Linked DNA regions of Mus musculus. The protein of the gene in region 4 purifies or fractionates together with the protein of the main gene of each other region. This does not show direct contact. Links are inferred from orthologs where the notes say so. Each region holds a gene or a part of one and is shown on either strand. Other genes may lie near its edges.

The links.
Region 1: the proteins of Snrpf (region 4) and Rnpc3 purify together in Homo sapiens (co-immunoprecipitation; 3 studies listed by BioGRID and IntAct, counting the BioPlex papers as one, with this or other methods). This does not show direct contact. The link is inferred for Mus musculus from reciprocal best matches to the Homo sapiens genes SNRPF and RNPC3.
Region 2: the proteins of Snrpf (region 4) and Ddx23 purify together in Homo sapiens (co-immunoprecipitation; 3 studies listed by BioGRID and IntAct, counting the BioPlex papers as one, with this or other methods). This does not show direct contact. The link is inferred for Mus musculus from reciprocal best matches to the Homo sapiens genes SNRPF and DDX23.
Region 3: the proteins of Snrpf (region 4) and Rbm22 purify together in Homo sapiens (co-immunoprecipitation; 3 studies listed by BioGRID and IntAct, counting the BioPlex papers as one, with this or other methods). This does not show direct contact. The link is inferred for Mus musculus from reciprocal best matches to the Homo sapiens genes SNRPF and RBM22.
Region 5: the proteins of Snrpf (region 4) and Ddx20 purify together in Homo sapiens (affinity purification with mass spectrometry; 5 studies listed by BioGRID and IntAct, counting the BioPlex papers as one, with this or other methods). This does not show direct contact. The link is inferred for Mus musculus from reciprocal best matches to the Homo sapiens genes SNRPF and DDX20.
Region 6: the proteins of Snrpf (region 4) and Sf3a2 purify together in Homo sapiens (affinity purification with mass spectrometry; 4 studies listed by BioGRID and IntAct, counting the BioPlex papers as one, with this or other methods). This does not show direct contact. The link is inferred for Mus musculus from reciprocal best matches to the Homo sapiens genes SNRPF and SF3A2.
Region 7: the proteins of Snrpf (region 4) and Cdc40 purify together in Homo sapiens (co-immunoprecipitation; 3 studies listed by BioGRID and IntAct, counting the BioPlex papers as one, with this or other methods). This does not show direct contact. The link is inferred for Mus musculus from reciprocal best matches to the Homo sapiens genes SNRPF and CDC40.

The regions. Positions count from the first base shown.
Region 1 is NC_000069.6:113,609,556-113,613,324, reverse strand, and holds part of Rnpc3 (RNA-binding region-containing protein 3), read left to right. Parts: intron 1-2,021; coding exon 2,022-2,116; intron 2,117-2,208; coding exon 2,209-2,267; intron 2,268-3,769. UniProt on the Homo sapiens protein: Participates in pre-mRNA U12-dependent splicing, performed by the minor spliceosome which removes U12-type introns. U12-type introns comprises less than 1% of all non-coding sequences. Binds to the 3'-stem-loop of m(7)G-capped U12 snRNA.
Region 2 is NC_000081.6:98,659,821-98,664,082, forward strand, and holds the start of Ddx23 (probable ATP-dependent RNA helicase DDX23), read right to left. Parts: upstream 3,070-4,262; 5' UTR 3,003-3,069; exon of another isoform or gene 2,958-3,002; intron 1-2,957. UniProt on the Homo sapiens protein: Involved in pre-mRNA splicing and its phosphorylated form (by SRPK2) is required for spliceosomal B complex formation.
Region 3 is NC_000084.6:60,563,547-60,567,315, forward strand, and holds part of Rbm22 (pre-mRNA-splicing factor RBM22), read left to right. Parts: intron 1-219; coding exon 220-249; intron 250-816; coding exon 817-949; intron 950-2,071; coding exon 2,072-2,172; intron 2,173-2,806; coding exon 2,807-2,979; intron 2,980-3,769. UniProt on the Homo sapiens protein: Required for pre-mRNA splicing as component of the activated spliceosome. Involved in the first step of pre-mRNA splicing.
Region 4 is NC_000076.6:93,582,374-93,586,772, forward strand, and holds the end of Snrpf (small nuclear ribonucleoprotein F), read right to left. Parts: intron 1,955-4,399; exon of another isoform or gene 1,722-1,954; coding exon 1,657-1,721; exon of another isoform or gene 1,158-1,656; coding exon 1,091-1,157; 3' UTR 656-1,090; downstream 1-655. Other genes in the region: Ccdc38 (coiled-coil domain-containing protein 38), read left to right, coding at 69-182. UniProt on the Homo sapiens protein: Plays a role in pre-mRNA splicing as a core component of the spliceosomal U1, U2, U4 and U5 small nuclear ribonucleoproteins (snRNPs), the building blocks of the spliceosome.
Region 5 is NC_000069.6:105,684,508-105,688,861, reverse strand, and holds the start of Ddx20 (probable ATP-dependent RNA helicase DDX20), read left to right. Parts: upstream 1-1,290; 5' UTR 1,291-1,434; coding exon 1,435-1,738; intron 1,739-2,128; coding exon 2,129-2,223; intron 2,224-4,354.
Region 6 is NC_000076.6:80,797,270-80,801,724, reverse strand, and holds the start of Sf3a2 (splicing factor 3A subunit 2), read right to left. Parts: upstream 2,991-4,455; 5' UTR 2,920-2,990; intron 530-2,919; 5' UTR 493-529; coding exon 367-492; intron 270-366; coding exon 198-269; intron 1-197. Other genes in the region: Plekhj1 (pleckstrin homology domain-containing family J member 1), read left to right, coding at 3,551-3,644, 3,748-3,815, 3,886-3,952. UniProt on the Homo sapiens protein: Component of the 17S U2 SnRNP complex of the spliceosome, a large ribonucleoprotein complex that removes introns from transcribed pre-mRNAs.
Region 7 is NC_000076.6:40,848,396-40,852,164, forward strand, and holds part of Cdc40 (pre-mRNA-processing factor 17), read right to left. Parts: intron 2,675-3,769; coding exon 2,535-2,674; intron 1,447-2,534; coding exon 1,350-1,446; intron 1-1,349. UniProt on the Homo sapiens protein: Required for pre-mRNA splicing as component of the activated spliceosome. Plays an important role in embryonic brain development; this function does not require proline isomerization.

The DNA.
Region 1 (3,769 bases), on a different chromosome or scaffold from region 4:
TAATTGGGCTCATGTTTTCAGAGCAATAGAATCTGGTGGCAGAACAAAGGCATCATGGTAGGAATAACTAAGAGCTCACATCTTGATCCATAAGCTGGAGGAAGGCAGAGACACACTAGGAATAACTCAAGTCTTTTGAAGCCTCAAAGGCTGCTCCTGCGGACACACCCTCCAAGGTCATACCTCCTCACCGTTCACAAACAATTCTGTCAACTTGGGACTGTATATGCACACATACGGGCCCATGGGTCCTGCGGACACCCCCTCCAAGGTCATACCTCCTCACCGTTCACAAACAATTCTGTCAACTTGGGACTGTATATGCACACATACGGGCCCATGGGTCCTGCGGACACCCCCTCCAAGGTCATACCTCCTCACCGTTCACAAACAATTCTGTCAACTTGGGACTGTATATTCACACATACGGGCCCATGGGTCCTGCGGACACACCCTCCAAGGTCATACCTCCTCACCGTTCACAAACAATTCTGTCAACTTGGGACTGTATATTCACACATACGGGCCCATGGGTCCCATTCACATTTAAACAAACATGCTACTAAATGATTTCTTTTTTATTTTAGTATTTTTTTTAAAAAATGAGTGATTTGTCATCGTTGTGTTACAAATCCCTTTCTCCACAATAATGGGGAGAATCAGCCTCAAATTAACATCTTCACATATAAAACCTAGTTTCCCAAAGCGGATTACTGGCAGTAAATATGAGGAACTGTAAAGGAGTTTGGAGACCTCTGTCTGAAATTCCTGGCTATTGATTTTGAATGCATCATCCCTACATGTGAATATGAAAGTGGCTAAGGATTTGAAAAATACATTTTCTTATTTATTTATTTATCCATTCATTCATTCTGCATCCCACTCACTGCCCCCTTCCTGTTCAACCCCTCCCACAATCCTTCTCCCTTTCCCCCTCCACTTCTCCTCTGAGGGGGTGGGGGCCCACTCGGTCTCCTCCCATTCTAGTACTTCAAGTCTCTGGGAGGCTAGGCATTTCCTCTGTCACTGAAGCCAGATGAGGCAGCCCAGCTAGAACATACCCCATATATAGGCTACAGCATTTGGGATAGCTCCCACTCTAGTTGTTTGAGATCCACATGAAGAACAACTGCACATCTGCTAGATGTGTGCGTGCATGGAGGCATAGCTCCAGCCTGTGTGTTTTCTTTTCTTGGTGCTTCAGTCTCTAAAGGGTCCAGGTTAGTTGATTCTTTTAGTCTTCCTATGGAGTTTCTTCCTCTTGTTTTCAATAAGAGTCCCTAAACTCCAACTACTCTTTGGCTGTGGGTGTTTGCAATTGTCTGAGTCAGCTGCTGAGTGGGACTTCTCAGAGGACAGCCTTGCAAGGCTCCTGTTTGCAAACATAACAGTATCATTAATAGTGTCAGGAATTGGTGCTTCTTCATAGGATGGGTCTCAAGTTGGCCAGTTATTGGTTGACCGTTCCCACAGTCTCTGCTCCATCCTAATCCCGGTATTTCTTGTAGACAGGATAAGTTTTGGGTCGAAAGTTTTATGGTTAGGTTGGTAGCCCTATCACTCCACCAGGATTCCTGCCTGGCCATAGGAGGCAACCTCCCCAGTTCATATCTACAGTGGTATGAGTCTCATTGATTCTTGGCACGTCCCCTATCCTGGGTCTCTGTCTCTTCCTAGTGATGCCTTCCCCAACCTCCACCCAGTCAGTTGCAGATTTCCATTCATTCTCATGGCCACCCACCCATCCTCCCTACCCCTACTCCCCTCCTGATCCAGCAGAGTATTTGTATAAGTGGTTATCACATATTTACGATAAAGTGACTCCTCAAAGAACTTTTAACATGGCTTTGGGATAAATTTTAGTTCTGTGTAATTGAGAAATATTGCTACTGTTGTCTGCTGTAAACATTTTTATAAAGCTTATTTTTGCCTTTTTAGCATTTACAATGGAGTGATATAATTTTACTTAAAAGTTACTAAAAAGATTGTAATTTTATATTTTTGTCTTGTTTTCTTCTTAGAAATGGAAACACTTTCAGTTTTTAGAAGTTATGAACCTGGTGAACCAAACTGCAGAATTTATGTAAAGAATTTAGCTAGACATGTTCAGGAAAAGGTAAGGTGAAATGTGCATTCAATTTTGTTACTTACTTTTCCCACTGGTTTTCTAATTTGTCTTTTTTTTTTATAAAAAATTTCTAATTTTAGGACCTTAAATTTATATTTGGAAGATACGTTGACTTTTCTTCAGAAACACAGCGGATCATGTAAGTGGTAGTTCTAATTTCATATTATGTTTTATCTGTTAGAAATTCATCACGTTTTGTTATGTTGACTTTTCTCTTTAGTGCTAAAATTTGATGAAACATCTGTTGTTTTACATAAAAGTCCTTTTAGAAGTTTAGAATAGGGATAGACAAATTTCTATATATATGAGCAAATGAAATTCTTAATATTTTAAATTAGATCATACTTGTTAGTTCAGTGTTTTTCCTACTATGAAAGCTGCTATAAAGTGTATATTAAAAAATGTTTATGGTTATACTTCTAAATCCTTATTTATAAACGCAAACTTTCTACTGTTTTGTGCCTAAGCTTTTGACACTAATGTACTTTTAATGTATTTAGTACTTTTTCACATTGCCTGAGAACTACTTGGAGAGCTTGGTTAAATGGTTTCCTTGGCCCATCTCCAAAGATAGGTTTTCTAGTTGTGTCAGGCCTCATGGATTTGCATTTCTAAAAATGACTTTAGCCATTTAATTTTATCGTAATTTTAAGTAAAACCAATCTTACCTGCCTTACACATTTTTGGATGTAATTTTGTTCGCATGTACAACTACGTACAAGGTGTATACTATAAAGGTTATATTTTCAGTATTACCTTGCCCATAGTTAGAATTTAAGTTGAAGGAAAAATTCCATTTGAAAAAAAGGTTATAGAGCCCCAAATGATTGTTATCTATAAGACCAGTAACTATATTTAAAAAAGAAGAAATTTTCACTTTATTTTTACTTGTGTGTGTGTGTAGAACACACATGTACATAGGTGGATCATTATTCTGTGTGATATACAATGCTCCTTTTTTTTTTTTACATTTGTTTGCTTGTTTGTTTGAGACAAAGGTTTGTTTATTAGCCTAGTAGTTGGCAGGTTGGTGAGTCAGGCTGGCCAGAAAGTCAGAGGCCATGTGTTTCTGCCTCTCTAGTTTTGTAATTACGAGCATATATCAATCACGCCCAGCTTTTTGTTTTGTTTTGTTTTGTTTTCTTTCTTTTTTTCAATGCGTGTTTAAAGGATTGGTCATGGTCCTTTTACAATCAAAGCAAGCTCAACTTTTCAGGTTGAGCTGTTACTTAACCTCATTAATTGATAGTGTTTGTTTTATATTTTTTAGTTCATAATATTAGATCATATTTTCATGTTATTTTTATATATAGCTCTTAAGTTTTCTCTCTGAAATGTTTATATATGAATACACTTACTGTAGAATGAATAAATGAGATATTAGGAGGATTAAACTAGGAATAACATGTGACTTAGACCCTATGCTTGGAAGAGTCATTCTGTTTCTAGGTATCATTAGTAAAATGTTAGCTTTGAATATCTGTTAAGTCCCCTATATACTCTAAAAGTTTGTAAATGTTTATAATAATATAAAGCCAATAATGTAAATCAATTACTTGGTTTCTCTTAGCCTTCTATTTATGTATTTATTTTTAAATCTGTTGAGTGTATGGTATTGAACTAATGAAAGGTATGTATAAA
Region 2 (4,262 bases), on a different chromosome or scaffold from region 4:
AGCATACCACACTGCCAACTGTTCTTTTTTTTTTTTTAAAGATTTATTTATTATTATGCATAAGTACACTGTAGCTGTCTTCTGACACACCAGAAGAGAGCATCAGATCTCACTACAGGTGGTTGTGAGCCACATGTGGTTGCTGGGATTTGAACTCAGGACCTTCGGAAGAGCAGTCACTGCTCTTACCCGCTGAGCCATCTCACCAGCCCCCTGGCAACTGTTCTTGAACTACAAAAACTAGTAATTATTTTATTCGCAGGTGACTGGGCTAGAGTATTGGTGTCCTAAGCATTTTGAGGCAATCCTTCTATCCAGTGCCAGTGACTGCCATATTGCCTAAGAAGGGAAAATGTTGGGCTGGAGAGATGGCTCAGCGGATAAGAGCACTGACTGCTCTTCCAAAGGTCCTGAGTTCAAATCCCAGCAACCACATGGTGGCTCACAACCATCCGTAATGTGATCTGACTCCCTCTTCTGGTGTGTCTGAAGACAGCTACAGTGTACTTACATATAATAAATAAATAAATCTTTAAAAAAAAAAAAAGAAGGGAAAATGTTAAGAATGAAAAAACAAAATGAACAAATAGCGTTTTCTGAAGGCTAAGATGACCTAGTTTTATCTCACAATTAACTAAAAAAAGTGAGAGACTGGTCTAAGTCAGTCTATCATGCATTTCACAGTATGTCTCTCCTACAGCCCTAGGAAAACAGCCCATCCTTGGGTTGTTTGGTTGTTTTTTTTGTTTTTGGAACACCACCTTTCTATGGTGGCACTTGGCTGGCCTGGAACTCACTATGTAGACCAGGGTGGCCTCAAATTCACAGAGATCTGCCTTGATCTGCTTTTAATCCCAAGTGCTGAACACCGTCTAGTGCCAGGAGCTGTTCTGGGTCCTGGAGACGACACCGTAACTAACACAAACTCGCTGACTTCATGAAGCATGAGTCCAGTGTAACACTGTTTCAGCTACTCAGAGTGAGCTCCAAACAGGGAAGGAAACGGAGTAACATGATATGGAGAGATGAAGAAGAGGCTCTTGGGGAAGACGTCTTAGGTTGACATTTACACTGAGAGCTGACAGTGGAAGAAACAGCCATGGGATGATCAGGAAAGAGAGCTTACAGATGGAGCTGGCAAGCACTGAGGGAACAACCAGCTCTGCACGTCGCTCTCCAGAGACTGTGGCTAAGGGGTACAGACCCGCACTTGGGAGGCAGAGGCAGGCGAATTTCTGAGTTCGAGCCCAGCCTGGTCTACAGCGTGAGTTCCAGGACAGCCAGGGCTGCACAGAGAAACCCTGTCTCGACCCCCCCCCATCTTCCCCCCCCAAAAAAGACAAGGTCAGGGGCTTGGAGAGATTGGTCAGTGGTTAAGAGCACTGGCTGATCTACCAGAGGACCTGAGTTTGGTCCCCAGCATCCACATGATGGCTGGCAAGCAAGCACCTGCAATCCCAGGGGATCCTGACGCCTTGCTGTGACCTCCTCAAACACTAGGCACTCAAGTGGTGCACAGACATAAACACATGAAAAACACCCATACATACCACCACCACCCCAAAAAACACAAGAATGAGGAGAAGTCAAATCATGAAATTGTTAGAAACCAGGGCAAAGGTGCTTGGATTTCAACTTAAAACCAAGAGTAGGAACTAGAGATTTGGGGGGGAAGTGGAAGTTACTGGTGACTTTCACTACAGCTGTAGGGAAAAAAAGGAAAAGGAAAACAAAATAAAGACAGGGGGCTGGGGAGATGGCTCAGCGGTTAAGAGCACTGACTGCTGTTCCAGAGGTCCTGAGTTCAAATCCCAGCAACCACATGGTGGCTCACAATCATCTGTGATGGGATATGATGCTCTCTTCTGGTGTGTCTGAAGAGAGCTATAATGTACTCAATCCACTAAATAAGTAGATTTTAAATAAGAAAAAGAAAGAAAGAAAATAAAGAAGACACTAAGCTTGAATGGCGTTTGTCTGGGACAGAATGAGAACTGTCAATAGAAGCAAAATACACTGTTAGGGGCCCGTGCAAAGGCATGTGACTCTCAACGTCATCTCAACGAGAACATTTGGAGAACTTTAAGCAGAGTATAATACGACCAAAAATTACATTTGAAAAGAATTACTCTGGTGACTTACAAGGAAATATGTAGACTTGGTTTTTGTTTTTTTTTTTTAATTACAGAAAATGCTTAATAGTCTACAAGTGTAATCATAGCACTAGGAAGGTGAAGGCAGTACTGAGCGTCCAAAGACAAAATGGACTAGGCTGCATACTGAATTCAAGGCCAGCTTAAGCTCCAAAAGACCCGGGCTCCAAAAGACCCTGGCCGTGCTTCCCAGTTCTCTGTAGGGCAAAGGCCAATTGTTTTCATTTAATTGTTCATCAAGCGCTACTATATATGCAACATTCAGCTGTAGGCCCCGTGGAAACTACAAAATGAAATTCTGTCCACAGGAAGCAGCAGATGGCACAAGACACGCCAAGATAAGAACGTTCAGGCGAAGAATCCAAAGTTGCCGGTCCTTTCCATTCGTAAAGAGGATATGGAAGGGCCCACAGAGGAAGTGGCTCGTTTTAAAGTACGAGTAGAATTTGAAGATGTGCAACTGTGGGTTAGGGTTAGAACTAATCTCCGGCCGAAGCACTAGTTGGCAACCCCGAGCCGGAAGGCATGGGGTGGGTTCTGGGAGCACATTAGAGTTCCTGTCTGGCCGAAGTAAGGAAACAAGAATTAAGTCAGACTGACGTATAACAAGGGCGATGTCCACGGGCCAAAGTCTAGGCTCATAATACAGTCCTGGAAGTGGCCTGTGCCCTGGGCAGCCAACACTGCTCCCGGGGCCCGCGCCCCTTTCACTCTTGCCCGCCGGAGCTGCCCTGGCTCGTGCCCCTTCCCTGAGGCGTTCTTCCCCTTCCGGGCTGAGGCTACGGCTATCTTCCCGCTCCTCACCCACTCTCCAAACTCGTGGGAGCCGCCTCCACCGCCAAGACTCACCACCCCGCGCCTGAACCGCCTAACGCGGCCTCAACGTCGCCGAACAGTCGCCATCTTTCGCGTTTCCAGATCACGGAGGAGCACCCAGGCCGCGCGGCAAGCCGGGAAAGGGAGTTCCTGGGCCTGCACCACGCGAGCTGACGAATAGGCCCTGAAAACTACCAATCCCAGAATGCACGGCGCGAGGGCCGGCCAGGCCGTAAGGTCTTCTGGGTAATGTGGTTTGCCAAAGGTTCGGTGTTTGTAGGAGAAAGAATTTTCCAAGTGTTGTCTTTCTACTTACAAGGTTCTTCCGCAGCAGTCTTTCTGGAATCTTCTAGTAGGTATTGCAGTTGATTTCAGTCAAAGCTGGCAGCTTTCAGCGAGAAAGTTTATACGGTAACAAATAATTTGCTTTTTTTTTTTTTTTTAAAGATTTATTTATTCATTATATGTAAGTACACTGTAGCTGTCTTCAGACACACCAGGGAGTCAGATCTCATTACGGATGGTTGTGAGCCACCATGTGGTTGCTGGGATTTGAACTCTGGACCTTTGGAAGAGCAGTCGGGTGCTCTTACCCACTGAGCCATCTCGCCAGCCCCCCCCCTTTTTTTTTGAAAAGTGTTTTTTATAAAAATTGTGAGAGAGATTATTGCCTCCGTGGATGAATGGAAGATAATGAACTAAAGATTAGTTCACTGGAGTAGCTTAGTACTTCACAATGAAGGTAGTACAGTTTTCACAGTAGAACTACTCCAGTCACAGGAGTAACCTTGGGGCCCCGGCAGGATGAATGCCTGAACAACCCCAGGGTACCCACTGTCCCCCTACTCCCAATAAATAATAAACTAACATTTCAGAGGTTTCCCTGGAAGGACTTCCCCCTCAAGTATCTTACTATTTATTCAACATTCCTCATGGGACCTTGCTTCCTCGTTTCCCTGGTCTTCAGGAACTGCCCACTTGGGCTACTTGTTATTGTTGATGTCTTCCTTCAGGTTCTCCATACATCAGTCCACCGAATTTTTCTTCTAGTCGTAGACCCACTTCCTTTCTCTTGGGTTCAAACAGTACCGTCAGCACCCGCTGAAACAGAATACAACATTGTGCGAGGTAGGATGGTTGAGATTAACCAGGGTACCCACTGCCTCCTTTTACATTTTCCATCCTCGGGTTTGCTTTAATCCCACATAGTTGTTGGTCTTTCTACTTTAAATTTATTCTATTTTTATCTGCATTGGTGTTTTACCTACATGCATGTCTGTGTGAGGGTGTCAG
Region 3 (3,769 bases), on a different chromosome or scaffold from region 4:
GGTGACAGTTGGATCTGACCATCACCGCATCCCTTACCGTAGCCCCAAAAAAAGATGACGTAGATTTGGTTTTATTATCTTTACAATTTCAGGGATCTCCAGACACACACCATAGTTTGTACTTGGAGGTGGTAGGGGAAACAGATACCTGAGTTGGCTTTGCTTGTCTGGCTGTGTGCTTGTTTTCTGTGCCATAATTCCAGTTCTTTTCTATTTCAGACCAAAGAAAAATATGGAAAAGAATGCAAAGTAAGTATGTCTATTAACTTTCATTTTCTTTATCCCCTTTCTTCTTTATTCTATCAAACTGGCATTGTGCTTGCTGAGTTTTGAGGCCCTCTATTCAAAGTCCATGCTCACGGCTTTCATGTACGGTTGATCTAGTCAGTAGCTGACAAGGAGTGTGGAGGGTAAGAGAGTGACCATTCTAGTGTAAGCTCATAAACAGGCGTCTGTGTGCACCGCACACCGGGAGTTTGTGTGCCGGGTGTTTCAGCTGAGGAGGAGGACTGTGGCTGCCACAGTATTCTGGAAGATGGTTCCTGCTTCACTTGCCTTGATCCCTACCAGAAAGACAAAGAGTCAGATTTCTAGTGAGGTTTACATTAAAAAATGTAAGGTGGGAAGCTTTGACTCTGAATGTTTATTTCTATGCTGTTCTAGCTTTTTAACGTCTAGAAAAAAGAAAGGAAATGGGATAGGGTCAACTGGCTTGTGGATTAGCTGTTTGCTAAGGCCAGCTCTCCATACTTACTCAATCTGAATTGAGTCCAGGCTAGAACATTTAAGATTCTGTGTCTCTTGCTGTGTGTTCAGATCTGTGCCAGGCCATTCACAGTGTTTCGCTGGTGCCCTGGGGTCCGCATGCGCTTCAAGAAGACTGAAGTGTGCCAAACCTGCAGTAAATTGAAGAATGTTTGTCAGACCTGCCTGTTAGACCTTGAATATGGTATGTTTGCCACACTCACTAGATCTTCAAGTGTATAGGGGCCCAACAGGCCAGCCCCTTGCCTCCCACTTCTCTGGTTTCCATCCCACACTAGAATGTCTACTGTGGCCTGCTTTTCCCAGGAAACATATCCTAACTAGGCTGCTCTAAAGACCTCCTGAGCAGTAGTAGGAACGTCAGGAGCAATTGGGAAGAAATCAGAACTGGCCTACCCGCCATCTCTGTGCCAGCTGGAATAAAAGGCATTGCTCCTTTGATACTGTTGGTTTGTTTGTTTTGCCTGGATCCCTTTGATCTAAAACTTTCCACAGTCCCGAACAAGTTCCTGGGCTAAGTATGCTACGAGCTGTTAGGACCAGGTATTGCTTCTCTTTCAAAACACTTGCTTCTAGGATTGTTTTTAATTTTATGTAAATGAGGTTTTCGTTTCAGAAAAAGTTACCTACCAATGGGGGTAAGGGGGGCGTTGTGGCTGCATATTGTTTTATATTATTCATATGTTTGTTTGGAGCATTTAGGCCTGGAGTACAGTGTTACTAAACATAACTGGCCATCCATAGGAACTTCAAGACCAATATAACAATAAACCATTGTGTTCTATATGTATATATTAAGTATATTGTGTTAAAAGCTAGATACTCTGTTAGCTTACTTTGGCCCTAAAGTATATTCTTTGAAACAATTTTCTAAACAAATTCTATGTCAGCACAGGAATTTGGACAGTTTCTTAGGGTACTCTCTATAGCAGTTATTAGCCCAATGGTGCTAAATAGATTTAAAACATTGTAAACTATCACCAAGTAGGTTGATTATCTGATTTTAAAGATTTATTTTTGTCTTTCATTGTGTGTATGTGGGGGTGGGGTACACATGTGAATATAGGGCAGAGTCTAGAAAAAAGGCTGTCAGCTCCCCTGGAGCTGGAACGACAGTGAGCTACCCTGCATGGCTGTGGGGAACTGCACTCTGGTCCTCTGCAGACCAGCATGTGCTCTTAATCCCTGGGGCATCGCTTAAAGCTCCCACCAACCAGGGCTGAGAAGGGAAGGGTGATGTAGTTTATATACACATCGAATATGAATATGTTACCAAGTTTTTAATTCCCCAATTTCTTTGTACCAGGCCTACCCATCCAGGTTCGTGATGCAGGATTATCATTTAAAGATGACATGCCTAAGTCAGATGTCAATAAAGAATATTACACCCAAAATATGGAAAGAGAAGTATGTTTTTTATTTTCATTAAAATCTAATTATATCACTTCCTCTCTCCAGCCCCTCCTGTGTCTTCTCCCTTCAACCTCTCCCATGCCCCCCTAGTAAAAGATGGCCTCTTTTTCTTTGATTATTAGTGTGCTGTATGTGTGCGCATGCGCGCACGCACATACACACACGCACATACACGCACAATTGCTTGCTCACCACCTGCTGGGTTCATTTAATGCGGCTTATCTGTATATGATTTCAAAGCTGACCACTATGTACTGACTAACCAGTTAGGGTGCTCATCTCCAGAGAGACTAATTCTCAACAGTCATTAGTTGCCTGTACTTCTTTGACTAAGGTTGGGACTCGTAACATTTCCCCTTTTTGAATTAGTGTATCTATAGTTCGTGTCTTTGTTTTGACAGCTATATTGTTGAGATATCATGGGTGTAGCTTCCCTGTCATTTCTGTGAAACAATCTCACACCAGACATCCTGGTCCTCTGGCTACCGTCTTAATGCCATTGTTTATCTGGGGAAATAGATTGTGTACACGTGCTGCTGGGAATTGAATCCAGGCCTTGTGATGTAGTTTTGTATTTGATAAAAATTCTAATGAATTGACAGCCTATAAAGTTGTCTTCTTCGTGCAGATTTCTAACTCTGATGGAACACGACCAGTTGGGATGCTAGGAAAAGCAACATCCACCAGTGACATGCTCCTCAAGTTGGCCCGGACCACACCCTACTACAAAAGGAATCGGCCCCACATTTGTTCCTTTTGGGTGAAAGGAGAGTGTAAGAGAGGAGAGGAGTGCCCATACAGGTAAGAGCTGAGCCTCACTTTCAGACTCCTGAGTAGTGGGGGAGACTCTAGCTTAAATTCATACTTTAACACTACAGCTCTTATGGCCTGTTTGCATGTAGAGCATCTCTTGTCATAAAACTTACATTATAAGAACCTGGCTAAATTATACTTTTTACTTAAAACTAAGCCTTGAGGAAATAAATTGCTATGTTATATAATGTACATACTGACTGTTTCTAAGTTAATAAGTTCTACGTTACTATGGTAATTTGGTGTCCATTTAAATGGTGTGAACAGCAAAGTATAGCTGAGGTCAAAACAAGACCACCTGAAGGCTACTTGCGTTTCAACCAAGACTGCCAAGCATCAGAGTAAGGGGTTTAGCTAATGATTTGTTAACTGTAAAACCACCCCCTAAATATATGCCCTTCTTCTGAGGTGAAGTCCGTAGCTTTAGTCAGATTCTATTAGAGCAGTTTAAGTGGGTTACTTAGAGCATCAGGAAGACTCGGTGGTTAAGAGCACTGACTGCTCTTCCGAAGGTCCTGAGTTCAAATTCCAGCAACCACATGGTGGCTCACAACCATCCGAAATGAGATCTGATGCCCTCTTCTGTAGTAAGTACACTGTACCCAGAAGAGGTACAGCTACAGTGTACTTACGTATAATAAATAAATCTTTTTTTTTTAAAGTTATATATGATATAGTACTCCCTTGGTATTTGCTGTTGTTTAGTAACAGTATTTTTGTACAGATATTTTGTAATTTGAAAGGCATTTGAGGGATTCTTGCCATGTAGCTACTTTAG
Region 4 (4,399 bases):
GTAAATATTGACATACATATTGAAAGAAACGTTACGCTAAGGAGGATTATTTTTTTTTCTCGTTTCAGTTGGGAAGACGACTTATCTACCGTTCGAAACCTCAATCTGCAGACAAACAAGAGCTCCTTTTAGTCAGTGATACAAGATCAAAATCACAGGACGAAGAGTACTTTTTTAGTTGAACGGGATCACGAGGATACTTTCTTAGCGAATGTTTTATGTGGATGTTGGCTTTCAGTGATGCAATACTGCCCTAGCAAATTCCAGGGCCGCAGCAGACCTTTAGCTGGAAGTTTACAGGACTAGGAACAGCAACTATTTTCTGCTGCAACTCTATTGTTCACTAGTACAGGCCATGAGCTAAGCAATACTTACTTTAGGTTGTCCCTGTTGGAGACATGTATCCAAAGTCAATTTATTGATGTAACAATAGAATGGCCTTCCTCAAAGCATGAGAATTTTAATATTTTCTAAAGCAATAAGGAAGTTTACAGCTTTGAATATACATTTTTAAAATGTATTATTCTTAAAACAACTGGACAGGTTTAAAGCTTAAAAACTAATAGACTACGGTCTCAGAACAATCATGGGGCTGGTTTTCTTTCACATTAAGCTCTGAAAACCTTATCAGAAAACTTTCAAGTGAACAAAATCATACATCTTCAGCCTAAATATCAATTTGTATTGTATTTTATCTCCATAATTATTTCAATTTTCATGTTTTGACTTAGCTATAATATACATTATTTAGTCTATGTCAATATAGAAATAATGATTTATTAATACAATATATATTAATACTAAGAAAATGTTTAACTTTATGGATGTTACAAGTGGTTTGGAAACCTTAAACAACACTGCTGCTTTTATGAGGTCTCAGTTAAACCAGCGGTGGGATTACAAAAAAAAAAAAAGAGTCCCTTGAATAAAACTGAGAGGCTTTTAAAACTTTAGTTCTAAGAATTATCCATCCATTGTTTCAACATTTGCGCTTTGCATTAAATAGTCCACAAGTCAAGTTGAAAAAAAAGAACCCCAAATCTTTATTGTATAGAAATACATATATATATAAAAAAAAAAATCCAAGATGCTATTCTCTCATTTCCCCATCTTCCTCTTCTTCTTCAACGCCTCTGATGTAGAGGACATTATTACACCTGTAACAGAAAACAGTCCATTGTGAGCTGCACTCAGAACCCACACAAGATCAATCCTCAGTGCCCCATCATCAGACTGGACACTGAACTCACAGCTTGCCACTTGTCCTGTTAGTCCTGTATAGGTGTAGTAAAGACACACCACACATTTTTACCATCATCACACTTCATCTCTACGACTTAGAATGTAGGTAGTTGCTGATACCAGACAGTGAGTACAACAGAAATCCTTAGCAGCCAGACTCAACTAAAATTCAAATTTAAATCCCTGTAACCCAGGACACTGATACAGGTTACAGCTGGAGCCAGGAGATGTAAATCAAGAGTAGGAAAATCTCAAATATAAACTGAAATCTTCCAACATGTTAGTGATTTCACAAGCTTCTGAGATCTAGTTGTAGAGTACTTCCTGTTTAATGTTTAATAGGACTAATATATTTCAGCAGGTATTTCTGAGGTTAGTTAGAACTCCTTTCATACACACAAATAAGTCTGTTACCTTATTAGAACTTCGCCCAGATGTCCAGACAGCGCCCCATCTATGTACTCTTCTGTATTTGCAAGCTTTAGACAAAAAGAAAGGTATTAGTATAGCTGCACGGGAGGGAAGAGTGCAGCATGCCTACTCGGTGAGGACCCAGTGACTGAGACTCCTCCACACCAACAACTCACACTGGATCCATAAACAGTAGCTCTAAGATTATCTTCCCATCACTCTTGTAGCTTTGGATTTCATATATTCATTAAGACATGCATGGGTATAGAACTCATGGATAATAAAGCTCGTTTCAAAGTTATTAAGCCTTCTAGATGTTATTTCTATCTGCTATTAAAGTGTCTCAAAGAAGAAAGCTTATTTGAGTAAGTTATAATTCTTAAAATTTTCTGAAAATTCAGCTCCAAAGAACCAGACATTAACTTTTCTTAGAGTAAAACATTATGAATCATATTAACTTGTTCAAATGGGTGTACAAAAGCTATGGCTAAAATATATTAGCCAACAACCAAACCAAAAAAAGTTAAGATTTTTAAAATCTCATGTACTCAATGGGGATGGGGGTGGAGGGGTGGGGGTGTGTAAATCAAGAATGATCTTTAGGGTTACTTTTGCAAATTCTATTCTAATTTTAAATGAAAAATCTTTAGCTATTTCAGCAGCTAAAATAAACTAATTATTTAGTTATATTATTTAGTTAGTTAGGGTGGGGGGGATTCGAGACAGGGTTTCTCTGTATAGCCCTCGCTGTCCTGGAACTCACTGCCTCCCGAGTGCTGGGATTAAAGGCGTGCGCCAACACACCCGGCTTTAGCTATCATTCTTACAATTAAAAAAAAAAAATATCCACCAGTGCTATATGGGGTCACCAAAGGCAGAACAAGAGAAGAGAAGGAAGCGTCTTTCATAAGCAGGCAGTGGACATAGGTAGATGTGGCTGGCATAAAGCATTTAAGACATGCAAGCTGTTTCTCTGTAGGAAAACAAAGCAACCAGAGAACATGTTGTCACTAGAACAAATGTTTGTGAGATGATTTTGTATATAACTCCTATCAGAAGGAATGTAATTGTGTGTGTATGTAGATATTTATGTTTTTGAGAAAGGGTTTCTCTGTGTAGCTCTGACTGTCCTAGAACTCACTCTGTAGACCAGGCTGGCCTTGTGCTCAGAGATTAACCGGCCTCTGCTCATAACTGCTGAGATTAATGGTACACATGGATTAATTATTTTTGACATTTCCCTAACACTTAAATGGCTTCTAAGTTGTATCTATACTAATGACCCAAAGTTTAGAGCTTACTAAATTCAAAAGCCTCACTACTGTTGAAAGGCTTTCAGTGACTGCCATCCCACCTTCTACTCTGGCCTTTTGTCTGTACCTCAAACACCCTAGTACCCCCCCCCCAATCCCCGTGGACAGAAGCTTTGCATCTGCTGCTCCTTCCAACAGATATGATTTTGTCCCAGATGCCAAAGGTCTCTTTGGAGGCGAGGCTGTTCAGTACTGCACACTCATAACCCTGGTTTTGCTTTACCGCCATGCTGTGGATCACTCCTACGCATCTGTGGTCCACAACCATCTCCCACCACTGGAACAAGCTCAAGGATATGGACTTTGTTTTGCTCACTGTTATATTCATGGTACCAAACAGACAACCAATACCTTTTGGCTAACTGAAGCAACTCAGAAACCGGGCTCGCTCAGAGATACATTTTATACCTCGGGACACTACATTAACTGCAAGATCAACTATTAGGTGGTTCATTTGTTTCAACAGGGTTTCATGTATTCCAGGTTGGCCTGCAACTTCCTGTGAAATGGGGATGATGTTTTAATTTCTAATCCTCCTGCTTCTATCCCAGGAATGACAGAATCACAGGCTTTTTTTCACAGAATCACACCAAGTGACAGGGATGAAACAAAACATTCTGGGGTTTTCAGTGTATTCATAACATTGAACTCTCATTTCTAATCCCACACTATATTCACCACTACAGGCATACTTTCCAGACTTTTCTACAGCTTTTGTAAATAACTCGTTTCAAGAATTTTCCAGACCAAATCTCTCCATATTCTTGTTAGCTGGATTTCTAGTTAATATATCCACCTAAGTAACCTTTAAAATCTGGGCAGAAACTACAATTAAACACACAAAAAAATTAAAAACAGACAAAGTGGCACATGCCTTTAATCCTACCACCCAGGAGGCAGAGGCAGGCAGATCTCTGAGTTAGGCCAGCCTGGACTACATAGCATGATACAGGCCAGCCAGGGCTACATAATGAGACCTTGTCTTAAAAAATACAAGTAAATAAATAAATAGAGGATGTGAGTACCTTGTCTTAAAAAATACAAGTAAATAAATAAATAGAGGATGTGAGTAACATATTTCTCCAAAGATGAAAGCACATGGTTAATACACACATGAAAAGGTGCCCAATGTCATTGGGGAAATGCAAGCCAAGAGGAGATACTATTTCAGATCAGGAGAATAATATTTATACATTAAAAAGAGGAACCTCGTAGAAAACAAGTGTTAGTGCAGATGTGGAAAACTGTAACTCTTGGGTACCATCTGAAGGAATCAAAACCACACAGCTGCTATGAAAAACAATATGACATCTACTCAAAAACAACGAACCAGTAATCCGACTTGTGTATATACTCCAAAGAGTTAAAAGTAGACTTGGAAAAATGCTTGTTTGAGGCTGGAGAGTTGGCCAGAGGTTAAGAGCACTGGCAGC
Region 5 (4,354 bases), on a different chromosome or scaffold from region 4:
AGACATTTGGAGACACAAGTATTTGACAGTAGTTTGATAGAAAGAGGGTGAAGGCAAAGCAAAAAGGAATCCTCAGATTTGTCATCTGTGGATTGGGTGGGTGAAAGATGTGGGCAACTATGAGGAAGCTTGCGATCTTTAGTTCCTCTTCCTTCATTTGGATAGTGGACGTTTGCTTAGTGCTTTGTTAATTTCTAAGCAAACATGTCTTAGTTAGGGTTTCCATTGCTGTAAGGAGACACCATGGCCAAGGACATTTATTGGGGTTCTTTTACAGGTTCTGAGACTCAGTCCATCATCATCAATGAGAAAAGTAATAAAGATATGCTTACATTTGGAAGCATGACTAAAGCTTTGTTCTAAGAGCTCTTTCAAAAAACAGTATTTAGTACGTGCCAGATTATGTTTCTCCTACCAGAGACAGAAGGGAACAAATCAGAATAGCTTTCTGTCCTCATGGAAAGTGTGTGTGGGGGTGGTGGTGGGGGGTGGACAATAAACATTTTAGGTAGTTGTATCATGAAGAACCTGACCAGGTATGGTGGCACACACATGTCATCTCAGTATCTGAAAAGTTGAGCCAGGAGGATTTCCAATTTGAGGCCAGCCTGAGCGGCATAGGGAGACTCTGATTTAGAAAATAAACAGACCAACTAACTAAGCCAATCAAACCAAATAATCAAACTCGGGGATAGTGGTGGGAATAATGGGAAAGGCCAGGAAGCAGTCAGGATGGAAACCACTCAAGATTTCAAGAAAAGCCTCTTTGACAGGGTGACACATGAGTGGGTCTAGAGGAAGGGAAAGTGGTGTGCTAGTTGCCCACCCCATAACGGAGGAAGGGCACACAAAAGATCCGTTGGACCCGAGACGTCTATTAGCCTAGGGTTTCCGAGAGAGCGATCAAGCAGAGCCTAGGAGTTGGCGTGCAGTCCAGGTTTCCACTTAAATATCAGGAGACTTCCGTCACGCGACAGGGTACGGATCGCGAAGACTTCGGCGTGGCTACAGCCGAGCTTGACCCAAGGAGCCGACTCCAAGCCCAGGCGACGGCGACCGATTCGCGAGCTGCGTCACAAAGCGCGTCCTGGGCGCTCGGGTCTGGAGCCCCGCCGCGCGGCCAGGCACTCAGAGCCGCGGGAGGCCGGCAGCGGGCGGCGCCCACCAAGGGCACGCGGCGCCCTCTGCAGGCCGCAGGCGGCAACACACCGGTAGCCTCATCTTCCCTCGCTCTTCCCGCCTCTTTCTCAGGCTACATTTTTTTTTTTTTTCTGCTCCCTCCTAGAGTGACAGCCTCCGACTTCCGTTCTTCCCCTCCGCTTCCAGGCGTGTCCGTGTCTTCTCCGGGAGGCTGCCAATAAAGTTTTTCTCCTTCTCGCTCCCAGGAGCCCCGCCTCAAGTCTAAATATCGCGAGATCTGGAGGCGCGGCTACCATGGCGGCGGCGGCGTTTGAAGTCCCGGCGGCCTTGACAACCTCCGAGTCCACTATGGCTGCGGAGCGTGCGGCCGCGCCGGTGCAGGCTGTGGAGCCGACTCCGGCATCCCCGTGGACCCAGCGGACCGCACACGACATCGGCGGGCCGCGCACACGTACCGGGGACGTGGTGCTGGCGGAGCCCGCGGACTTCGAGTCGCTGCTGCTGTCGCGACCGGTGCTGGAGGGTCTGCGGGCGGCCGGCTTCGAGAGACCCTCTCCGGTGCAGCTCAAGGCCATCCCGTTGGGGCGCTGCGGGCTCGGTGAGGACCGGGGCCGGCCGGCGGTGGGGGGAAGGAGGGGACGGCGTGGCCCCCGGAGAGCTCCGGCTCCGCGCCATCGCGGGGCTAAGCCAGGCTCTAAGGCGCGCAGTTGAATTTGAGGGTAGGACTTTCTTCCAGCATGGAGTCCAAGTTGGAGAAGGTGAGCGGCAGAGATTCGGGGCGCAAAGGGCTGGGGAGGTAGCTCGGTGGTTAAGAGATTGGGGCATCAAGCACACCTCCTGCGCGTTTGAGAGTCAACCAAAAATACAGGTGGCAACTAGGTCCTCATGGCAGAGAACCTCTTCATTCTCCTTTCTCGTATTTGGTATCTGGTGGCATCAGTAAATCTAGGTAATAATATGTAATATATATAATTTTTTTCTTCCTCAGATTTAATTGTCCAAGCTAAGTCGGGCACTGGAAAAACTTGTGTATTCTCCACCATTGCTCTGGACTCTCTGATTCTTGAAAACTATAGTACTCAGGTGAGTCTAACTCAGGATCCGGAAGGGGGTGTGTAGCACGTGACTCTATTGAGAGTCGTGACAAACTAGTAACTCTTCCAGATGGTGAGTTTGAAGAGGCCGGACCAAAGCGTATGCAAGTTAGGGAAGTAAACTAGATGGTCACGTCGGTGAGTTGTGGCCAAGGCTACGTCCAGTATTTTAAAGTTGGAATTTTCTGTTATAAGTACATCTCGACCATTTGTCAGTTGGAATCGTACAATTAAAAATTCATTTACTTTCTGACTAGAGTGGGATTAGACATAGAAGGTAGAAGTTCTGGATTAGTAAGTACTGTGCTATGGCAGAAATTTCAGGTGGTTCTTAAAGCCTTGTGTATGTGTTGTATTGATCTCTCATTTTCTAGGTTGCCTCGGGATATGGTTTTAAGATTGTCCTACTCAGCTTTGGGTTTGGGGGATCATTCTTTAAAAAGCTTTGTTTAGCCATTGTTACATATAAATACTATAGTAGGCACTAGGGATTAAACAGTGAATAAGATGTGATCCTGACACTGTCGTCTGGAGTGTGTAGTGATGGCTGACTTCAAAAGGGGGCTTTTGAGATGGTCGATCTTCAATGTGATTCCTTTAAACCCAGGATTCTTGTATTTGTTGTCTAGAATCTTTGAGTTCTATATCCACGAAACCGTGGGAGATAATGAATATACTTTTTAAAGTACATTGGCTAATTTATTTGAGATTTAGGATGTGTTGAGAGTTTTGGCTTTGTAATACTTGGCAACAGACAAAATCCCAAACTTGAGTAAAAATCATATTTTTAAGGTATATTATTAAAATAATTAGTGCCTGTGTATTATGTAGTATCAAAGTAATACTACATAATAATTTATAGTTGGGAAAATCAGAAAGAGAGAGAGAGAGAGAGAGAGAGAGAATGAGAATAAAGTACCCAAATCTGTGATGTGTGCCCAGAGTTAAGGGATTTTTAAAAAGTCTTATTTCCTAGTCTTTTTTTTTTTAAAACCAGTATGTTCATTTCCAGTAGTTACATTGCAGTTTGTACTGTGTGGTGCTTGGGGCCTTTGGTACCTAACCTTTGCAGTTAGCTTTGAGATATAGTCCTCTCACAAACCTTTAATCCCAGCACTTGGGAGGCAGAGACAGGCGGATCTACAGAGAGAGTTCACGAACAGCTAGAGCTACACAGAGAAACTGTCTCGAAACAACAACAGAGAGTATGTGGGTCTTTCTGCTGTTCTTCATGTATATCTTACTACTTTTGAATTTGTGTTTTCTCTTCCTAAAGCATTAGTGTGTCCCACAGCTAGCTCTGTGCTATACATTTAGGTTTCTTCTCAAATGTTACCTCCTTATGGGGCTCCTAACACGTTTGTTTGAGGCAGGCACACTTGGAATAGTCCTAGCTGGCCTGAAACCTAGACTAGTCTTCAACTGAGGCAATCGATTTCTGTTTCTAGGGTAGTAGAACCTTCTGTGTGTGCCGACACTCTCGATGTAAAAGGGCTTTCTGATTATCTCATTTAAAACCACTCCCGGGCTGGTGAGATGGCTCAGTGGGTAAGAGCAACCGACTGCTCTTCCGAAGGTCAGGAGTTCAAATCCCAGCAACCACATGGTGGCTCACAACCATCCGTAACGAGATCTGACTCCCTCTTCTGGAGTGTCTGAAGACAGCTACAGTGTACTTACATATAATAATAAATAAATATTTAAAAAAAAAAAAAAAAAAAAAAAAAAACCCACTCCCCTTGTCAGGGCTTTCTCTTTTCTCTATTTGATATATATATTAAAAAAAAAATCTTACAATTTATTACTTGCTATTACATGTATATATATGTTATGTATGTATATATTCATTATGTATGTATAAAAAAAATGACAACAAAAACCCTGTTTTTTTTGGGGGGGCGGGGGAGGGAGTTTGAGGCAGGGTTTCTGTCCTGGAACCCAACTTTGTCGACCAGCCTGGCCAGGGACTAACAGAGATCCAAAGTGCCTCTGCTTCTCAAGTCCAGGGATAAAGTCGTGCACCACCACACCCGGTCTAGTATGTTCTTAATTGTTAGCTGAATTTTTCTCTTGTCTTAAAACTCATCTCTTAAAATGTAGTGTATTGCAACAAATGGATG
Region 6 (4,455 bases), about 13 Mb from region 4:
TGACCTAGATAAAGCTCACTGCTTACCTGGCATGCTAAGCCCTAGGCTGAGCTCTGATCCCCAGAATTGAGAAAAAAAAGAAGTCAATGAGACCAGACCAATACTGAGTGAGTGGGCTGGCTCTGGGTGGCAGGTCCAAGGCCTACCAATGTCACCTCACTCGAGTATAACAGTGGAGAAAAAGCAGGGGCAGATACCTCATTGTTATGCAGAGTCAGGCAGAGTTTGCACTCATAGGATCCCAAGTGGTTCTTCATAAAATACGGGTCCTGGGAGTGAATAAATGTACCGTTAGACTGCATGAACCAAGGACTGAGGCATGTGAGAGCTCTGTGGATGTGGGAACTGGCACCCCCTCCCCCCGACCTTGTTGATGTCAATGGTTTCCAGGGCCAATTGGCGCAGACGCTCTCTCCGATCCCGGTTGCTCTCAGAGGAGGAGGCTACGCCCCCACTCCCAGTCTTGCCTCCAGGTCTGTGCTGAAAGTCCATGATGCAGGCCTGGGTGCTTCAGGGGACAGGAAGAAACCTGGGGGAGTAAGGACAGCTAAGGCTCAGAACACTGTACATGATGCTAGGACGAGGTAGCCCAGCAGGCAGGTCATTCCCTTCGCTGAACTCCTGATCCTCCTAAGAGCTGTGACCACAGTTGAGCCACCTCTCCCCGGTGTTGTTGTTAATTTTTCTCATTATTATTATTATTATTAAGAGAGGATTCTCTATGTAGTCATGGTTACTCTCTACATAGATCAGGCTGGCCTGTGTGCCTGCCTTTGCAGGCATTAAAGGACACGCCCTCCTCCACCTGACACATGGCATATGGAGTGCTTGGTACCAAGGGTCCCATCTTTGAGGCTCAACCAAAGCCTATAGGCAGTGTCATCTGATGACAGAACACTTTAGACTACTCAGTGTCAGCCCCAGCCCTTGGTTTAAACCTATAGGTAAATTCAGAGACAGTACTCAGGAAACAAGTGGAGGCAGTCCTTGTTAATATTGCTGGAGCCTCCTGCAAATTTGACTTAAGAACCTTGAGGGCCAGGTACCTAGTTACCTCAGTGTCACCACAGAGTGTGTCTGGGACAGACAGGACACTGATACCACTGGCTGTCAAAGAGAAAGAGGCTAGAATGCAAAGGATACAAGATGCTCTAGATGCCGAGAGAATGGCTGAAAGATGTATATGGAAGTGGTGGGGCAGAACCAGCTTGTCGGATGTTTCATACTCAGCCACTTAAGGACTGAAAAGAGCATTGTCTACATCTTTGAAAGCTACTAAGAGACACATTCCCAGAGATGAAGTTGGCCAGATGCAAGAGCAGAGTCTAAGGGTGGCAGCATGGGCTTCTCAGAGCAAGAGGGCACCCGCAACAGCAGGATGGAAAACCACTTCAACCGCTGGCAAAGACAACTTTCAAGAACATAGGACTCTATACCTGGCCTCTGCAGGGAGCCTGGGTATCCAGCCACAGATGTGAGGGTGCACCTCAAGGGTGGAACACTTGTCCATCATGCATAAGGTCCCCTAGGGGTACATGTTTGAGGTTGAATGTGTATGGGTACCCACTGCAAAAATGCAGTTAGTTCATGAGCTTTGGAGGGAAAACAAACACTAGGACAAAACTGGCCTGGGCAGGCTGGAGAAGTGGCTCAGCGGTTAAGAGCACTGACTGCTCCTCCAGAGGTCCTGAGTTCAAATCCCAGCAATGATGTGGTGGTTCACAAACATCTGTAATGGAACCCGATGCCCTCTTCTGGTGTGTATCTAAAGACAGCTACAGTGTACTCATTATAAATAAATAAATCTTAGAAAAGCAAAACAAAACTGGGGCCTGGGTGAGCACACTGCTTGCTCTGTGGATGGGGCACCAAGCTCTGCAAACGCCCACCAACAGTTCCCAACCCCAGGAAACACAGAAAACGTAGGGCGTGGTGGTGTACACTTCTCATCCCATTTCTTTATCCAAGGTAGGAAGATGGTTAGGTTAGTGTTAGAGACCAAACCGGGCTGTGCAGTGAGATCCTATCTCAGATAAAAGAAAAAAGGGTGGCGGTAGGCTCCAGGGACTCTGATATCCCTTTCTGGACCCTATGGGTACCCCACTCACACACAAAGCTCCACACAGACACATTAAAACAAAATCTTTAAAAACGCGGGGAAGGGCATTTATCTGCTTGCTGACTACTGCTGCAACACGACCACCACGGCAGACCGCACCTTCATACCATCAGCCAAAATAAACCCTCGATTCCTTAAAACCAATCAAAACAGCCAAGTGTGGTGGCTCATGCTGTAAGTCCCACTATGCGAGAGAAGGCAGAGGCATGGCAATGTCTGTGAACTGGAAATCGGCCAAGTTTCCACACCGAGTTGCAGGTCAGCCCCAGTTAAGCAGTGAGACCCTGTCTGAAATAAATGAAAAGTTGTGCCGATGACTGGAGGGGCTCACACGTGAAACTTGGGACAGGAGGCCAGGACGCAGGGACGGGAGATGCGCAACCTCACGGACTACCGTAAGATTACCGATGAACGATCAATAAGGACAGAGACGTGGTATATGTTAAGGTAATGGTCTGGGAGGAGGCCTGGTCCCAGGACAAATCCCTTTTATGTGCAGATACCGTTATCTTTCAATCCCAGCAAGGGACCTGCTCCGGTGGACAGGAGCAGTGGTCGCCAGGGCCCCGATTAACGAAGGTGGAAACGGAAACAACCAAGGAGGTCAAAATACACGCCGAGACGCCACTCGGACACCCCGAACCACCCTGGAGGCCACAGAAGCGCCACCCAAGCCAGCAATCACGCGGCGACCCAACGGGCCTCGCGAGAGCGCGCTCTCCCGGCGGGCGCGCGCCGATCCTGAGGCAAGAGGGCGGCCGCTGCCTCTCCCCGTCCCGCCCCCGGGCTTTCGCTCCCACCTTCAAGCCTCCCCGACGGAGCAGCCGCCACCGACAAACTGTGCAGCTCCTCACCAACGCTAAGGCCTCGCTATCCGGGTTTAATCTCCGCCAAGGCCGCGGTTTCGCCGCGCGCGTGCGCACGACCGACGAAGCGATCCCTTCCGGGAGCAAAGGCGTCGGCGTTTCGTGTGTGCGCAGGCCCAGCGGATGGACTTCCGTCTTCGGTAGGCGGGAGAGAAAGGAGCGTCGGGGCGCAGAGTGCGCGTGCTCACTGCAGCGACCGCACAGTTTCGCTCCGCCCTAAGTCTAGCGGCGCCGGCTATCGTGACAAGAGGAAAGCGTTAGGGTTCACCGGCCCAGGAAGGCGCTTCGCTCATCGTGGAGTGCTCTGAGTCTAACTTACACCTCACGCTTAGTATGTCTGGCGGTTATTTAAGGACGGGCCATCTCCTTCCCGTCTGACTCTGTTCAACCGCGCAGACCCATAAATTAGGGCCGCGCAACCAGCCCAACAACGCGCAGGCGCAGTAACCGGGTTGGGACTTCCGAGATCGCTCTCTGAGACTTTTGTGGCGCTGGCTGCGGCTTCGGGGAGGACGGCGGCCGAGAGGCAGGGCGCGTGTTGGTTCGCGCGGATCCGTGCGGCGGGATGCGGTACAACGAGAAAGAGTTGCAGGCGCTGTCCCGACAGCCGGCAGAGATGGCGGCCGAGCTGGGCATGCGGGGCCCCAAGAAGGGCAGCGGTGAGCCAGTCGGGGCTGCGGCTGGGGCACTTGGGCGGGCCGGCGCGGTTCCTGGGTGGGCGAATGAGAACAGTTCCGCGCTGACACCGCCCTGTGCCTACAGTGGCCAAGCGGCGACTGGTGAAGCTGGTGGTCAACTTCCTCTTTTACTTCCGCCCGGACGAGGCCGAGGTAGGGGCGTGGGGGGCGCGGGGGACCCGCGCGGCCCGGAGGCCGGCGCTCATGGCCGTGTCTCGCGCAGCCCCTCGGAGCCCTGTTGCTGGAGCGCTGCAGAGTGGCCCAGGAAGAACCGGGCGGCTTCTCCATCAGTAAGTTTCCATCCCGGACTCTGCTCCGCACACCCGATCCTTTTTACTCCCTTAGGAGCCTACGTTTGTCCTGGATCCCGCGTCCGCTGGTGGCCCAGGACTGGCCCAGCTATCACTCAGAGTGCCCACTGGGTCTGGTTCTCGCTTAGTTTCTTCTCCGACCCCTCTGCCCGTTCCCAACTGAGAGAGGTGCAGTCTGCGAACGTGGGGTGTATAGCAGGAACAGTCTCTGCCGCCCTCTCTGCCACGGGTAGGGTACGGGCAGGCTTTAAGGCCTGTCTCAGCCTTCTTCCCTAACGAGAACTTTACAGTATCTTGTAGAGATTTGGGCATCATGTCTACCTATATTATCCAGTGGGGTTCTTTATCTGTACCCCTCTTTTCTCCTTCTTGCACGAGTGCACACGTGTTTTGGGGTGTGAGTATGCCAGTAAGGCCAGAGGGAAACTTGAGTAGTTGGTTCTCATCTTCCACTATGTAGGTCTCCAGCATAAAACGCTGGT
Region 7 (3,769 bases), about 53 Mb from region 4:
TTACGTCTCTCAAGTCTCTTGTTATAGAATTTGAGGTGAAACAGGCCAAAAAAGGAGACACAAAGGCAAGTGTGAGCGCTCCTTTCTCCACCTTCCCACTTTCTACCTGTCGGCTTCCTTTCCCCTTCTTCATGGCAAGCTTTACCGGAAAATGTTAGATGGCTGGCACGATGGCACTCCTGTAATGTCAACCCTGCTTACAGAAGCCTCCGTGCAGATCTAAGACTATCATATGCTGCACACTGCTGCGGTGCTCGTGCAGTGCAAAGCTTTGTGTTGTTTTGGACACATAGTGGTCCATTTTGGAAAACAAAGACTTTCAACTTTTCTACTGAATTTCTTAGCATGTACAAAGCTAGGCAGTATACTTTTGGATTGTGTTTGTTTGGTTTAAAAAGCTGCTATTTGAGTGGTTGGTTTGAGCTTCATTAAAAATTACTAAATGAGTTGTGGCTTAGAATTAGGACAGGTTTTCCAACAACTTCTGAAATGGCCCTAAATATTTGTCTGCCATTTTGTACTATGCATTCATGTGAAGTAGTGTTCTCAGAAGTGATGACTGTAAAATCAAAATATTGATCAAGTCTAAAAAACATTAAAATGCTCTCTACCTCCTACAGTATCAAATATTCAACCACGATTTAGTTTGTATGTAAAAATCAATAAGAACGTTGATTTCACTGCCATGGACATTCATTTCCGTCTTTGCCAGTTTCCGCTTGTGGAGCTTACAGTTTTAAGCACTACAGCACTAACCAGATGCCTTGGAAATAAAATTGAGGTTTGTGAAACCATGTGGTCTTCTGAAGCCTCAGGACTTGATGTGACAAAGCACCATGCCAGCACTGACCCATTCACTGTCTAAGCTCTGGTCACCAGCACGTAATTTCCTAACGGTACCGATTCTCCATGAGCCTGTGCATTATTGCCCATTCAAAGTCTAGTAGTCTCTAATCTATTCATATGGAAACAGGGTTTTCTTTAAAAGTGAATGTACTAGATAATGCCCCCGTGAGTATTTGGCTTGGATTAAATGAAATTAAGGAACCGGCCCACATGAGGAATCTACTTTAGGAAAGGACTTATGGCTCACTCAAGTTTCTTCTTTACTCATTTTTAAAAACCCACCGATTCATAAACAAAAATTTCTGTGCTTATCATTAATCATGCTACATTTTCCCTTTTAGTAGTATAAAAGGTCTATGGTGATTTCGTTAGGATGCAAATTGCTCTTAATATAATGCTGACATAACAGCAGCCAACAGTGCAAGCAATTGGTATTATATGGCGTGAGAAAACAAAACACAGCAGATTTTTATGAAAATACAGATGTTTGAAAATCATACTACCATGTAAGATTGTCTTCTCCTCCCCAGGTTTCTCTTCTTCCTGTTTGCCTTTTTTCTGCCTCTTTGCTGTGATTTCATCCAATTCCTTTTGTTCTTCCTACCGAAACAAAGCAGTGAACTTTAATGAGAGCCTGAAATCTCATCGTGCCCACCACTGCTGGCGTATACCCTCTGTAAGGAGGCTCACAAACATGTCTGCTAGGATGGCAATGGCAACTCTGCCACAGCCAGAGACGGATCACCTCTTACACAGATCACAAGATGATATTAAACACATGCTCAGTAATATTTTTAAACTGAGTCTGTCTCCTCCCCCCGCCCCAATGGCTAGACAGAAGTTCATCATGCTGTGCTAATCAAACGACAAGCCATCAGAAAGTCTGGTATCAGAGGACACTGAGTTTAGAGCACAGTCCTGTTTTTGTTGAGTTGCTTTTACATTGTCAAGACAACGGAGTAAGCAGCAATCATGGATGTGAGACCAACTTGTTTTGGGAGATCTAGGGAGGTAAGATGGGAACAGCAAATCTGCATTTATAATAAACAAGCCCAGGCATGATGTGTACAGGAAGAAGACAGCAGCATATGCATGCTACAAAGTGAAGCAGATGTAGGAACAGCTGGACCACCACCTTCCTAAGGACAAAATTATCTTGAGCTTGTCTGTCACTGTGCTTCAGCTGTGCTTCATAACTTGGGATAGTCCCTAGGCCTCAGAGACAGTGGGTTACAGATGTGAGCAAGAATTCTGTAGTTCTATTTTATACACTTCACAAGGATCTTTTTAAAAATAATATAGATAAAACTTAAGATTTTGAAAGTAAATTAGTAAGTAAAGTCACTACGGATGCCAGTGTGAGAGCAAGGCTGACCCTAGTAACGAGGTCAGGGATGGGAAGGACAGCAGGCAGGGGAACTTCTGAGCCATAGTAATGGTAATTATATTAAAAAATGGTTCCATATTCTACATAAGTCAAAAGAGTATGGGGACAATACGACAGAAAAAATGCAAATTCGGATATTGCAAAGAAAAGCTAAGAAATTTTATTATATTTTCTCAGTCAGATAAGGCTGAGAAATTCTGATGAGTCATGGGTTCTCAGGGGGAAATCTCACATTTATCAACACAGACATGACTGGTAGAGACACACACATTGGAACTGAAAGGAACACATCAAAGCTTACTTCTGAAGGTTTGGCCACATCTTTTTCATCCACATATTTTGCCCATGGTCCCAAGAAACCATCAATATTAGATGCATCATTTTCTTTGAACTTTTTCCTCTTTTCTGTTTTCTTCTGACCAGTTTCAAATACAGTTAAGCCTGCATTAACAACAAACATTAATGGAGTGAGCGCGCTGATTCTCTTTAGAAATATCAGCACACATGATTTTATATGGTTACAGTAGGCCTAAGCAATCAAACCCAAATGCCTAACTCTGCCACACAGACCCACTTGAGCTGACAAAAAGAAACAACAACTTCTTTTCCTCCTCCTCCTCCTCTTCCTCCTCCTCCTCCTCCTCCTCTTCTTCCTCCTCCTTGCTTGGCAGGAGACCCAGGAAGTAAGGTGTCACCAGTTTGCTAGTCTAGGTCTCTTGACTCATGACAGAAGCAGGGGGAGGTGTGGGAGGAAGGGAGGAACTGCTCAGTCCAGGTGCCTTCTTAATGAATCAAAAACCAGTAATGGTAGGCTTTTTGCTTTGTTTTTAGAGACACAGTCTTATGTAGCCTAGGATAGCCTTAGTTGAGGTTATAGACATATACTATGATGCCCAGCAAGATATCAGCACCTCTGAAAACAAAATAAACTAATTTATCATTTAAAAATGGAATCAAACTACAGCAAACGCTTAATAATTTATTTTTACTTCATGTATATATAACAATACAAATTAAACAGGGTTTCATAGATCTGATATAACTTCCATATGATGTTAATCTAAACTTGGCCTCCAGTGTCATCAGCTTTGAAAAGAATTGATAAAGGATGATGGTTTGATTCTGATGTCATTAGCAGGCGAGGGCTGCATACTGTTTGTATTTACTAAAGTCAAAGAAGCATTTGAGCAGCATAATCACAAGCTAAGAAAGAAAAAGGAGTGTAGTAGAAAGAAAAAAGCCTACTTGTATAAACTCAAAGCAGTGCTCACTGGGCTCTATGTTACAGCAAAGCAATTAAAATTCCATTTCAGTACTTCATGCATACTTGTAAGACAGTTTCATAATAAAGGTTATCCTTGTACAACTATCACATTTTACTTTTGTGGCATTTTATAAATAAATATTCTGATGAGCTTTGAACAAAGCTGGCTTTTCACTATAATGGTTCGTCTCATTCTAAGTACTAAGTGAATATGAACATAAATATGCTTTAAAAGACATTGAAAATCTGCTATTACAGCAATTTGTCAAAAT